3 linked regions of the Drosophila melanogaster genome follow. The protein of the gene in region 2 interacts with the protein of the main gene of each other region in a pairwise test. Each region holds a gene or a part of one and is shown on either strand. Other genes may lie near its edges.

Region 1 (4,094 bases), on a different chromosome or scaffold from region 2:
CTGTCCAGCGTGGAATCGAAGCTGTCCGAGCAGATCAACTACTTGACCCAGGTGTCCACGGGTCAGCCACACGAGGGTTCCGGCTATGCATCCGCCAAAGTGCTCCAAATGGCTTGGCATCGCATTCAGCACGCTAGGTCCAGAGTGCGTGAACTTGAGGAAACTAAGGCCAAACACTCACATGCAGCTCGTCAGCAGTTGAAGCGTCAGCAGGAACATGCCGCCGCCCAGCAACAGCAGCAGCAACAACAACAGCAGCAGCAGCAACAACAACAGATGCAACAGGCGGCACAACAGCAGCAACAACAAACCGGAGGAGGAAATGCCGGCAGCGGAGATCATCCCATGGGCGGAGACTCCTCAATGTCAACCAACTAATCTTGCGCTATCTTTAAGGGTAAGGGTTTTAAATTTTTTAGAGTGCATTCCGAAAAGGCACATTTTGTCAACCAATTGCGTTAATCGAAACATAAGTGACACTCTTTTTAAGAAATACATTTGCATACTACTATTTGTACTTTATTTGCCTAACTTAGAAGCTAAAGTTATAATGCATCCGGTGTTGAATCAACGGTTTTATCACAAGTGGTAACCAACGTTTCTTGATTTGGTTTAGCTTGACCAATGCCAAAGAAATTTCTCTCGCAAACATGTCGCACGCACTGCAGCAGGACATTTCTTTCATGGCGTATATCGGATTCTAATAGTTTCGACAACATAGTGTTCGGGGTTTGCTTGCGCGCTCTCTTGTAGTTCAAGCCATAAATTCGCTTTGGAGCTGCTCTTTTGGGTGCAGTTTGTGGCTTCGGTTCCATTGGTTCAGGAGGTGGTTTGACTGGATCTGACGCTGTTATAGTTTCGGTCACTCGCTGGAAGGGCTCTTCATCCGGTCCTTCGTCGGAGGAGCCATCTTCCTTGGCAGGCTCTGAGTTAGATGTAGTTATTTGACTAATGTTGCTTATTTCTCGCGGCACTTGGTCTGATGATGTCATTTCCAACATAGGTGTAAAGTCTTCACAAGTTTGAGTATTATCAACAGAGTTAGGTGTATTTGAAGCCTCAAGGGCTGGACCCATTTCTGTGATTTCAGATGGCATACTTTGGGAGCTCTCTACTTGTGCTGGGATTTGTTTACTGCAGTCTGCTGTATTCTGATCATCACTCTCAGCTTCACTTTCTTCGTCACTATCTGACCCGTACATTCCAAGAAAGCTAGACAAAGCATTATCCTTCTTTTGAACTTTTGCCTTAAAGTGCTGGTACTCCGGCATTTGTCCAGTTCCTCCAAATTTAGCATTTCCCAGGGAGCACAAATTAACTTCCTCTTCTTTTTTATCTTCATTAGTTTCTTTCTGCTTCAAAGCTTCGTTTGCTTTATCAGTACCAACACGTTTTTTCTTCTTTTCATTGGCTTTCCCTTTGGCACATCTCTTTTTCTTGTTTTTCGGATCGAAACGAACTTTGTGATCTCCCTGGGGTCCTCCTCGCGTCCGTTGGCGATCTTCCCGGTTTCCGAAGCGAGATTTCGAAGCCTCCAGGCGCTCTCCGCGTTTAATTCGCTGTTCCTTGGCTAATCTAGCCAGCTCAACATTGGCCGCAGTGGGAAATCTACAATTTGAGCTGCTTATTTTAAAGAACAAAAGAAATTTCTACTAATTAACTTACTTTTTTCTTCGTTCTGCCCTCCAAGCGGCCAATTCTTCCTCGGACCAAACTTTCTTTACCTTTACGTAGGTTCCTGTGATGTGATTGGATTCTATGTGACGTTCCAGGATGTTGTGGAGCGCCGCAAAGTCGCAGTCATCGGCAGGGCAGAACTCGTGTTGCTCCAGGTGGAGTTTCATATCCTGAGAGTTGGCCAGCTCCATTACACATGTGTGACAAAATTCCGGTCGCGGAGGAGAATGGTAAACTGGCGGGGATGCAGGCACGCTCACTGGGCTGCTCTATGTTTTGAATTAAGGAATGTTTAAAGAACAAGCTCGAACTATTATTGGTGCACTCACTTGTTCTTGGTGCAGATATTTAGCTGGCACTGTTGATCCTCGTGCACCGTACATGGGCGGCGGTTGCTTGGAGCGCGGCAGCAGGGTCATCCCGCTGGGGGTCAGGTAGAGGTGATTGGATGTGGTGGATCCATTGGGCTTGCCGAACTTTGGAGACGGTAATACGAATTTCGGCAGAACCTTTTCTTCCATTTCGTCGCGTACAAACGTTAGAAACAATGTGCGCGAATGGACATAGTGTGACCGAAGCTATCGAATATACCAACATGCGTACTACATTTTAAAAGGAATGTCTTTCTTAAGGTAAGATTTATTTTTATTAAAATCATTTAAAAGTATGAATAAGTGCTATTTTAAAATACCTTCGCTAAAATTCGGGTTTTTAATAAATTTAGAACTTATTTTAGACATTTTTTCTTAACAAAATTTATTAGATTAGTCCGTATTTAACAATGTAAATTACAGGTTGTTTTTATATTTGGGCAATCCATTGCAAAAAGTGCCGTTGTTCCTGCAACAACTTATCGATAGTCCCACCCACATCGATAGACTAGTATGACCGCACCGCACTGTTGTTGGTATCGCGACTGGCAAGACAAAAACAATTAGCTGCGAAGTGCAAGTCAATTGAGAGAGCCATCTTAATTGTATTTATTAAGTTTAAGCGTTTAGATTAGTGCGAATACTCAGCGGCCAACGAAATGCAGAGTGTTCTCAACACCGTCAAGGGCACAGCGCTCAATGTGGCCGAATATCTGACGCCCGTTTTGAAGGTAAAAAGTGCCAAATAAACGGAAAACTGATCAAATGTGTATTTCAATACGTACATATGAAACGAGGGTGTACATATGCATCATGACAAAGAAAACCCGCAAAGATAAGGGGTTTCCTCGCTCTAATATTGATTCCATTTTCCCGTTCCCCATTTTCCAAGACTTGTGTTAACGGCCCCCGGGAGGCTATAAAACTGGATCCAACGCCAGACTGTCTCCAAACGTAAAATAAGGGGCGTCCCAGAATTCTCGGCCTATTTTTGTGTCCTTTTAAGAAAACGGCCTACAATAATGTAACGGTTTATGGGAAATACTTACATTTTAGCGTTAAGATTAAAGATATGGAACTAATATACATATATACTAATTATTTATCAATTAAGAATTCTAGATACAACTTTCCACTTTGTTGGTTTTGAATTGTTGTACAAATATCGTTATTTTTTTTTTGCAGGAATCGAAATTCCGTGAGACAGGTGTTCTCACTCCGGAAGAATTCGTGGCCGCCGGTGATCACCTGGTGCACCATTGTCCAACTTGGCAGTGGGCCGCTGGCGATGAGACCAAGACAAAACCCTACCTACCAAAGGGTATGTGCTGCGATTTTCCACTAATAACTAGCCAATTGACTCATTAAAATCATTTCGCCCCCACTTAGATAAGCAATTCCTGATAACGCGCAATGTTCCCTGCTATCGTCGCTGCAAGCAGATGGAATACGTCGGCGAGGAGACGCTGGTGGAGGAGGAGTCCGGTGACGGCGGTTGGGTGGAGACTCATCAACTGAACGATGATGGCACCACCCAGCTGGAGGACAAGATCTGCGAACTGACAATGGAGGAGACAAAGGTGAGTGCGGGTGAAACTTTACCACGACTATCATAATCAAGTACTGCATTTCAGGAAGAAATGCACACTCCAGATAGCGACAAATCTGCGCCGGGCGCTGGGGGCCAGGCTGAAGACGAGGACGACGACGAGGCTATTGACATGGACGATTTCGAGGAGAGCGGCATGCTGGAGCTGGTCGATCCGGCTGTAGCCACCACGACACGCAAGCCGGAGCCGGAAGCAAAGGCCAGCCCAGTGGCAGCCGCATCGGGCGACGCGGAGGCCAGCGGTGACTCTGTGCTCCATACACGCACGTACGACCTGCACATCAGCTATGATAAGTACTATCAGACGCCGCGACTCTGGGTGGTGGGCTATGATGAGCAGCGCAAGCCACTGACCGTGGAACAGATGTACGAGGATGTCTCGCAGGATCACGCGAAGAAAACTGTCACCATGGAGTCCCATCCGCATCTTCCAGGTC
Region 2 (4,462 bases):
ATTGCTTAAAATCGTTGTTTTTAAGTGGATATACCCTTGGTACCTCGTAATCAAATGTCTAGAAGCCATCTGCCTTCTGTGTTTTGAGCGAAAATCCCCTCTCTAGTAATCTTTGACTAATTCGTATAAACAAAACAAGAGCTTCAATACAAAGAGTTTACAAATTATCATCAATTTAATTTTAAGCTTATGATCATAGATCGAATTACTATTCTCAACATGGATGGGCTAACACTGATCGAATGTGTTAATTGATAAGGTGCTAATACGACTAAAGAAATTAAAAATTACATTTATCTTTACTGATAAGCTAGTGAGTCAAAACCCTGCTGTTGCTCACAACTGATTTTCTTGCTCTTGAGTCAAAAGTATTATTAACAAGAGATCTGACATACAGCCTTATTTGTTTATAGTTCTTATTATTATTACTCTCTGATGAGCTCTCACTTGTTTAAATCGAATTCCAAAAGCACTAATAATCTATTCCTCTCTTTAGAAAATTTGTAATCAATGATTGCAAACATCTGCACTTTAAGTCATAGGCTTAAAGCAAGGGTTTTATTTTAGCGCAAAGTATACACTTAATAGATTGTTGGCACCAATGCATGCTTGGGAAATCCACCGACTAGGAAAAGGTAATCTATTATACGACTTAAAGATTTATTGAGAATTTTGTACATAAATTTCCGTGTTTTCCTGTATTGTCACATTATAATTATTTCAGCGCCTCACATGACCATATTTTGACGTACCCAGTCAATGTGCCGTGCAACATCGCAATAGATAACATACTTGCTAAGGTCGCAAATCTCTCCGTGGCGAGGCGATAAAGAGACCACACCACGAACGTACCATCGATTGTTACGCAGGACGATCAGAGCAGATCCCGAGTCTCCGAAGCAGGGACCATGTGATTCTGAATTGCCGGCACAGACGGTCCGCCGCGTGATGAAGTCCTCCGCCCGCTTCATCTCCTTGAGACACTGATCCCGGGGCACCAATCGAACACTCACTGTCTTGGGAAACCGCGTCTTCTGGGCACTCCTGTCGTAGCCCCAACCGGCTACTGCTCCAGTATCGCCCTCATTCGGTGGCAATCCCATATTGGAGCCCCAAAGGCAGAGGGGTCGAATGTACTTGGTGTACACCATCGGAGAGGTCAGCACCAGCAGACCAACGTCCGCATCCGGAACTGGATTGCCCTCGTAGGCGGACGGAGTCAGCACGCTGGTCACGCTAACCAGGGAGGCTCCATTCTCAGGATTCTCGTTGCGATCATGCCTGCCCAAATAGACCCAAAGCTGGCTGGCGCTCTTTCCATAAATGCAGTGAGCTGCCGTGATCACAGTCCGTTTGGAGATAACCGACACCACGCATTTGTATGTAGCCGTGCCAACACCTTCGTAAAGGGCCGCGAGCCAGGGGTACTGACCGCGGGTCACCAGGTCGCCTCCGATTTGAAGAGGCGAAAAGCCCTCAACGCCGCATTCCTCAAAGTCCGAATCTATTCTGGGCATGATTGAAGGAAGGAAAGGATTGGGGTCATTGCTCGGTGTGCTCGGCGGCGGACGCCGCTGACGCACTATTTCTCTTGGTGCTGACTTTTGACTAATTGGCGTTGAGGTGGACATGGACTGGCGTCGGGTCATTGTGCTTGAAGGGGCATCATCTGCACAAAGTAAAAAGAAAGATATGAGAAAATTATCATCAACTATATGAGATCATCTACTATATAGAATATCTTTAGGGTAACAATAATTATTTCAAAGTAATTTAACTAAAGATATTCTATCTAGTTTTATTATTACTCACACTCCTCATTTTGACACAGAACCTCGCCGTTGAATTCCGCCCGGACAAGTTTGGGCAGCTCGTTTCCAAAATCCGTGAAACGCACAAACACCTCGCCACGTTCTCCGCTGTGTATCTTTTCAAAGGCCCTTTCCTTATTGGGATACGGAATGAGTGAGCCCACAGTGTTTGCCTGCATGGGGGGATATCAGAATGTTGAATCAGTTGAAATAAACAAATATATATGTAATTTGTTAGGGCTTTACCTCACCAGTTCCGTGAGCAGTGAAAACCACCTCCCATGATAGGCTGTTCACACCAGCGCGTGGCGCCGTGAAGACGCCAATGTAGGCTCCACTGTCCTCTTTGTAGTAGGAGAAATACCTCTCACAATTATGCTGCGGCACGTGCAACGCCGACCCGAGTTTCAGATTGAGACAAAGGCCCAGCAAGGTCAGCCACAAGATTGTCATTGCGACGGTAACAACCAATGCTGAATGGAACTGAATGAGAACTGGGATCGAAATCGGAATCCACAAGCGACTATCGATGCACTCCCTCTCCATGTAACAGCTGATCTCTCGCCAGATTGCGGAGCACCCCCATTGAGTGATCACTGGTTATTCCCAGCCATATCAAGTCTTCGGCTTAGTACTATTTTTAATCATTCAACTAACTAACAGCTATTTAAGAACCTGGTTCTCCACGGAACTATTTAACAGAGGAGCTACTGTTGAGAGAAAAATCCCCATCTAAGTAAACATGTGACTTGTTTTACAAACCCACTGTATGTACTCGTATATATATGATATGCTCGTAGCTAACTGAAGAAATATTTTCTTCTCTTTTTCTGATCTTGCTCAATTTTTATAGCAAAAAACTGTTCAGTATCAATCGAGAACTGTTGTAAAACACAACTTTTTGTGGCTTAGTTTACGCCTGACAGCAATTTAAAATTTAAACAGCTAGCATTGGCTTTTAAAGCACAAGTACTCTTTAATTTATCTTATTTGTTTGGGCAATTTGTTTTTGATGCTATAAGAAACATTTACGAACTGATAAGAAAAGTATTACTTTTTAAATTTATTTTTCTATACTTCTACTGACTTTTTACATTTTCAAGATCTGTGGCGGCTCCTCTTAAAAATCGCGTAAGTTTTGCTCAAAGCTATTATCAGGCGTGGCAAGGTGGCTTATGTGAATTTCTATTGAAAATTATGTTTGTGGGTCGACGTTTATAGCGACAACGCATTTGGCCAAAAAAAACTTTTTCCAACAAAACAAAAAGGAAGCCCGTAGAGAATGAGGGGAAGTGCTCCTAACTTCACGATACCCGCAACTCAATTTTGCTGCATTGTGGCCGCCGGTCCCCCAATTTGCCCCAACTGCCTGCCGGCAACTTTTATAATCAGTTTCAAGTTTGTTAAGCTTTGTAATAATTTGTTGAGATTTGGTGCGAAATTTTTCGATTTCGTTTCTTTTTCGCAAACAAACTTGTTGTGAATTGTGCCGTGGGCTCAAGTCTGCCAACTTAGCGGAGGCACTTTGACAACACATCGGAAAATGGTGGTGCAGGCTTCCGCCTGCGTCAATAATCGGGTGGCAAGTGGCAGGTAGCGTGCGTCTGACTGCACTTGAAGGCAGCTCCAATTGGGCGGCCTAATTGAAGCGGTTCCTGTTCGGGCGCCACTTCAACATGATGGCTTGAACGGCCGGGCGGAGCAAATCAAGTCGTATCAAATTAGGCGACGTGAATAAGTATTAAACTGGGCTAAAACAGATGTTATGATGTTTAAATTCGATTTATTGCATGTAATATATATAATCTTGTGTAAACTTGAGATTTTTTTTACATTTTGAAATTTTTTTAAAAGCAATAAATAATTACTTGTCTATAGCAACTTCAGTTGGCATTTGCTAATAACTGCTGATGGAAATTAATTGAAAGAATTTGTTCTATGCCCGTCGGATTATCTTATAGGTATCGCAGGTGCAGATGCCACGAAAACGACTAAATACGAAGACAAATGGCTCTCCGCAGGACTTAAGGAGCTGATTTTTCTGTGCGTGCACAAAAGCTGTGCGAAGGGAGTATTGCACCTCATCGTGCCATGAGTTATCAGCCGATTCTTCCACCAAATACGTGTGGAAGACATTGAGCACCTGAAGCGATCGTTCCATGCGAGGTGTTCGAGGCAATGCCAGTAACTGAATATATGGACGAAACTTTATCCAGCGCTGGCAGTCCTTAATGTCCACATCAGTGCCCAGATCGATAATCATTAGCTTGCAGTCGTGATCATGAATGGCCCTCAAGATGTCCAGCTCCATGGGTCCCTTGAAGCACTTCTGCAGCTCCTCAGTGATGGTGAAGCCCAGTTCGTGACTGGGAGTTTGCATGGTCCAAGGATAGCGCCGATTGGCAAAGTCGTACGCCAACTTCTGGCGACGCTCCTGCTCCATCCTCAGTTTGTTTACCACCTCATCTATGGGTCTAATGTCCCGGGATCCATGGCGCAGAAAGTCCACCTGATTCGACGCCGTTCGCTCCTCCACCTCCTGGTTTAAGGCATTCTCAGCATCCTCGTTCTCGATCTCCTCCCTTTGGGCTCCTTTGCAGCAGCGCAGCTCATGTGGCGGCATGTAGAAAGGAAAGCCCACCTGGGACAGA
Region 3 (5,866 bases), on a different chromosome or scaffold from region 2:
ACTTGGGAAGAGCTTGATCGGGCGATACACTCGAACTGACGCTGTTCGTTGCGGCGGCGGCGGTGGATGTGTTGTTAATGACTGGGCCAGAGGACCTCCTAACATTGGTGAAGGTGGGGCCAATGCTTGTGGCAGTGCTTGCACTGTTGGTCATGCTCGTGCTGCTGCCTTTTGAGGTGGACGGATAGACAATAGCCAATGGCATACGTACCGGCACCGGTGTTTTGGCCGGAGGCTCCCCCGCCACTGGTATGGCGCCGTTGGCTGTCCGCTTTAGTGCGGGACGGGCCGTGGAACGAGAGGTAACTGGCGTTAAGGCCAGACCCATGGAGCCCTCAAAGAACCACTTGTCCTGCAGCTGATAGCCGGATGAGCGCACGGCCTGCAATTCGTGGTAAAAGGCGCGCAGCACCAGCCAGGTGACCTCGCAGTGCTCGTGACTACACATCACTTCCATGCCGACCTTCTGCCAGAATTCGTCGTAGCGCGGCGGTTTCACCTTGTTGTGCAGGGAGTCCTCCGTCAGCTGAACTAGTTCTGGCATGTTGCGCATCGTGGTGATCAGCGCCATCACAGTGTGGAAATTCTCAATGGGCTCGTGCCAACCGTTTTGCAGGTACTTGGAAGACTTGCATACGGTGCCGCGCATGCGCTGTACGTGCGGTTCCATGAAGTCCATCAACCGACACAGCTCCGAAGTGCCGATATGACGTGGGCGATGGATTAACTCCCATTCGTAGCGAGTCTGCAGCTTTAGCCAGCACTTCATCAGCTTGGTGGCTTTGTCATGGACTTCGTTTGAAATGGCACTCCAGATTAGAAAGCGATGTCGTGTGTTCTGATAGCCCGTGCACGTGCTATCGTACAGAAGGGGATAGGCACTGACTGCCTCTATGAGGCGACGCTGTAACCTGTTGCAACGGTAGTTATAGGTGGGGTCCTCCTCGACATCCAAATCTATGATGTCCATTGGCGGATTCTCTATGACCTCCACATCGGGCCGGGTTTCGCTCTCATCCACATGCTCTTTTTCAAGAATCTCTGTCGGAATCTTGTCGACAATCAGTGGGAATCTGGCCACATGGGTATACATGAAGCGCATCTCTTCCTCGTATTCCATGCAAGGACGCCAACGCAGGGCCGCCCGATCTTTTTGGATGGCACTGCGATGAAAGTTTCTTAGACGACGAACATGGCGCTGATATTTATATCGCAGCGCCGACCAGGATCTCTTGCAGTTGGTCGCATTCGTTGCCAGGCGGCTGGCGATTTTTTTCCATTGTTTCTCCCTTTGAGCGACGTCGCGGAATTTCGGATGCCGGGCGTCATACAATAGCGGCTGGCGGCGTACCAAAGCGATGAGCAGCCTCTCTGCCCTATAGGTTTGCAGAATGCCGCCATCCCGAGATCCCGGATAAGTGCATCTGCTGAACGGATTTGGGGCCTTATCGTCATCCACGCCATTCGTCTTCTGACCAATTGTGTCAGCTTTGAGGAAAAAAAAAAACGGAAGTTAGTTGAACGGCTGACCAGGTGACCAACTGTCGGACTTACAAACAATTATCTGGCAATCATTTTCAATGGCAACAGGCTCCTCCTCCATGTCCTAGACACCTGATAGCTCCAATCTTGACCTACGCGCGCCTTTCCCCCACACAAGCCGTCGAGAATTCTCGGAACGGAGAAACCGGTGGGCAATCCGATGGAACCACTGCTTCACTCTTCACTCTTTTGTAGCATAAAATCACTCGGAAATAGTTTGGGAACAACTTGCAACTACAGGATTATTAAGTGCAAGCGTATCTACGTAAATATATCTACGTAAATAAGGTTTCTTGCGACGCCAGATAGTCGGCGGTTGCAAACGCAAAATGGTTAAAGAGCGTTATCGACCACGGATACCGTTATCGAAACATTCGATTAATATTTGAGTGTGAAATAGAATTGTATAGCTAAATATTTTTGTTTGTGTTAAGTTAAACAAAAATAAGTTGAAAAAACACGTTACAATTTGTAAAGCTACATTCTAGTAGCTACCCATTTGGATATCAGTGGAGTTATCGATAGCAGCCAAGCGCTGAGAGCAGAATATTTCGTTAAGTTCTCCCACTTGCGAGCACTCCAATTTCTTCGTTCTGGCAACGCTGCTTACCAGTCAGCTGTTTAGCCGGCAGGTTTTTCAACGAATGTTTTCATAACGCGTTTTCCATTCAAATTCAATTGAATTGAATTAATTTACAACCAAATATCGCTCTAAAACATGTGGGCAAGAACAAACTACCTCTGGCGAAGTGTGGGACGTCTGCGCCGCCAAGTATGCACGACGATCGTTTCACCAGCGCGAATATTTGCGGACCGAGAGAATCAGTTCGCCCATGGAATCCTGATGGATTCTCTCAAACCGTATGCAATACTGCGTCCTCGGGACTCCGCCTGGCAGGATTTGCCCGCATCTGAAGGCTTTATGCGGCCACAGCCAGATGCCAGTGCTGCCGATCTCTATGCGGACTTTTTAGGCCTGGTGAGGCACTGTAATCGCATGGAACTGAAGATCAGCGATAGCCGCTACGAAGCCTTTACCCGCTGCTTCTGTGAGCAGCTGCATCGCCTTACGGATGAACAACTTCTTGGATCGCTTAGTGCCTTGGCCGAGCTGCCCGTACCGGAATCGCCCAAAGCCAAGAACTACATGGAGATATGGAATACCCTGGACATCGAGTGCTGTCGCCGCATCGAGCGATGGTCCAGTGAACAATTGCTACTCGTGAGCGATGCCTGGTATCGTCTTGGTCTGGTCAGGATAGGCGAGTACGTGTGGCTGGCGCTGAAAAAGCTCGGCCGCAAGCTGCGAAAGCTGCCGCCAGAACAGCTCGTTCACTCCATGTTCCTGTGCAATCTACTGCGCCGACCCGTCTTCGAGATGTTCGATTTCGAGTTGAATCTGGCCCGCTGCGTGGATCAAATGACGCTGTCCGAATTGGGCGTAATGGCCATGGGCTTCTTTAAGACACAGACGCCTATCAGAAATCCGGAGCTGCTAACGCAACTCTATCAGCGATTAGGCAGCGAGCTGGACACCGTGGAAGACATTGTCCTGGTAGCGCTGCTCAAGGTGCTGCGGTACAGCAGCAAGCTGCCACAAGTGGAGCCGCTAAAGAAGATGTTAAGCGCTCTAGAGTCGCAAGTGGATCGCGTTTCCCTCCTCACGTGCCTGCACATGGCTCTTCTGGGCTGTGAACTGCAAACGTGCAATGATGCACTGGTGGAGCGCATACTGCTGAGATTCGAGCGTGAGTTAGAGACTGCCCGCCTCAAGGATATGGAGCGAATTTGTCTGGTAATGGCCCTTTTCAATATTACAACTAAGTCGGGAGTGGAACGCCGGTTGGCGGAGAGATTGCCCGATTTGCTGCGCCAGCGTATAGAGGAGATACTGCGCCATCCTCGTTGTTTCTCCAACTGCCTTCAGTTTCTCACAATGCGTGGTGTTTACGATCTTGAGCTTTTGGGCGTGGCACTGGAGCCGCGTTTCCTGAAGCATGCGTACCCAAGCGGATTGCCCGGGCGTGAGTACTTCCATTTGGATGGGTTCGCACGCCTCCTGGGGCCGGAATACCAGGGAGCACTGGTTACCGAGAAGCAACGACAGCAGATGGGCCGCAATTACACGCAGTACATCCCCGATCGGGACGGACGCTTCAAGCTGAATAATACCGATCGTATTCTAGTGGAAATACGGGATGCGATCACCATGATCCACCGTCCCGTGACCTTCAAGCACATCCTGCCGCAATACGATCGATGCGATGTAGTGTTGTGCTACGACCGCCGGCAACGGAAGGCGTTGTCCATAAATGGTGAGGCCTGTCAGGATTACAGCGGTGAGATTCTCACCCGGAAGCACTTACTGGGTGAGAGAAAGGCTGCGGATGACCAGCTGGTCACAGTGGTTATCGTTATTGCCGGCTGGAACAACGTAATCCGCGATAAGGATCGTTTCACCGGCCAAATGGATATGAAGCTAAGGCAGCTGCGGCAATTGGGACATCAGCCACTGGTGGTAAGTTTTGCTTTATCCTATGTAAGCTATATTAAAATGAAAACTTTCTCATCCTTCGAACAGTATGGTCAAGCATATGAAATTCTCTATCTCTTTCTATTTTAATTGAATTTACATCCTTTTTATTCACAAGCTCTCTCTCTCTCTTTCTCTTTTTATACGAAACGCACCTATTTAAATGTACCAATTGTGTATTTCTTCTTAGACTGCGGGTTGTATTATTATAATTATTTAATTGTCTAATCTTTTCCTGCTTTTTTCCACAGATCTATTGGCACGAGTGGCGGGAACTGGAGAACTCAGCTGACCGCCAGGACTTTCTGAAACGCCGCCTTAGCCAAATTGCAAAAATTTAGCAGGAAATAAAAACGGCAATAGAATTGATATTAGTCAGTCATTAGCATTATCTGAACATTGTACAGGCACAACACTACGATCTATTAATTATCTAGAAAAAAAAGCAATAATTATCGAATATTTAATAATGACCGCCCGCGGCCGACAACTACTAGCACAGCGTCTTGCTCCCGGATCCCCGCAATCGGACCGCAGCGGACCGTTCGTCGCGATCCATTGTATGGTTGATGCCGTCGTCAGAGGGTGGCGCTCAACGCTCGCTTGGTGTACTCGTAGACCACGAACAGGGTGGCCGTGGCTGGAATGGTGCGCAGGACAGATGGCAGCAGGCCGCGATAGAGTGCCAGGACACCTTCGCGACGGACTATGTCCGCTCCCACGGCGAACATGCTTTCGTTGAGGTTCTTCACCTGTATGCGACTCTTAATTACGTCTGCAGGAAACGTCGACGTCCAGAGGCAGACGCCTCCAATGGCGCCGGCGATCATCGTACGCAGTGGTCCAATATCATCTTTGGATTGATCATCCCTGCAAAGGAAAATAAGAATTATGCCAATGTAAATAACTATTTAACTTTGTCCAACATCTTTCATTTGAATAGACTAACGAAGATCGAGTTATCTGTCCAGCTAAGGATTTTGTTAAGATATTGTTGAACAAATTCTGTAAATGACTAAATATAACTATACTGCTAATTAGTATGATAACTGAAGAAGAACGATTGTTGTTCACTCGTAAACATTAAACTCATTAATCTCCTTCTATGGAATTTGTTTGTACTCACCTGCGGAGTAATTCACGGGTTCCCTCGTAGCTGCCGAAGAAAAAGAAATATCCGGGCATCTCGCGCAGGAAAGTCGAGCTCAATCCGCGATAGAAGCCTCTGATGCCTGCGGAGAAGAGATTAATCAACGGATTAGACCAATGGTAGCTAAGAAAATAGCGAAGATGGACACGTGAGGATGGGGCTATCAATTAAATTCGCATTGGAACATCAATCAAAGGCGAAACGGAAACGTGCTCATGATCTGCCGACTTGAGGCTGTCAATTGTGGGGCATCATTACATCGGTAAATTTCCACTTGACTGATAGTGGCCCAACCATGTGCATTGGCCGTAGCTGCACGTTCCGCTCCCTGTTTCCCGATGCTTTCCAGCTTGTAGTACTTGTAGTAGTACACCACCAGTATACCCTAGATGTGTACAGATCTATCTCGCACTACGTCACTGCTGTGCGTGGCATGTTTCGAGCTGCGGCTCTATGTGGCTATGAATAGTCTTATCAGTTTCCATAGAAATCCCTAATTCGCTTTTCGCAATCTGCGTAGTAAATACTCAATATTTATGTTTTGGAAAATAACGAGAGGAATGCCAGCCTTCCTCGTGCTCGATTAGATTGGATTGACTGGGCTTTTTATAACCTTAGCTGCTTTTCAATGGCTTATTCTT

What was found.
Region 1: the proteins of CG9631 (region 2) and Nufip interact in a two-hybrid assay, tested with the Drosophila melanogaster proteins (one large-scale study listed by BioGRID).
Region 3: the proteins of CG9631 (region 2) and CG2124 interact in a two-hybrid assay, tested with the Drosophila melanogaster proteins (one large-scale study listed by BioGRID).

What each region holds. Positions count from the first base shown.
Region 1 is NT_037436.4:18,746,111-18,750,204, forward strand, and holds Nufip (nufip), read right to left. Parts: upstream 2,258-4,094; 5' UTR 2,199-2,257; coding exon 2,007-2,198; intron 1,947-2,006; coding exon 1,666-1,946; intron 1,609-1,665; coding exon 546-1,608; 3' UTR 501-545; downstream 1-500. Other genes in the region: MED11 (mediator complex subunit 11), read left to right, coding at 1-378; Atg3 (Autophagy-related 3), read left to right, coding at 2,708-2,779, 3,234-3,369, 3,438-3,628, 3,683-4,094.
Region 2 is NT_033777.3:14,224,453-14,228,914, forward strand, and holds CG9631 (uncharacterized protein), read right to left. Parts: upstream 2,311-4,462; 5' UTR 2,265-2,310; coding exon 2,058-2,264; intron 1,985-2,057; coding exon 1,813-1,984; intron 1,670-1,812; coding exon 729-1,669; 3' UTR 646-728; downstream 1-645. Other genes in the region: CG9624 (uncharacterized protein), read right to left, coding at 3,748-4,462.
Region 3 is NC_004354.4:10,593,990-10,599,855, forward strand, and holds CG2124 (uncharacterized protein), read left to right. Parts: upstream 1-2,132; 5' UTR 2,133-2,260; coding exon 2,261-4,060; intron 4,061-4,156; exon of another isoform or gene 4,157-4,326; coding exon 4,327-4,416; 3' UTR 4,417-4,653; coding exon of another isoform or gene 4,654-4,945; 3' UTR 4,946-5,180; downstream 5,181-5,866. Other genes in the region: Hmr (hybrid male rescue), read right to left, coding at 1-1,488, 1,555-1,603; CG1628 (uncharacterized protein), read right to left, coding at 4,654-4,945, 5,202-5,307.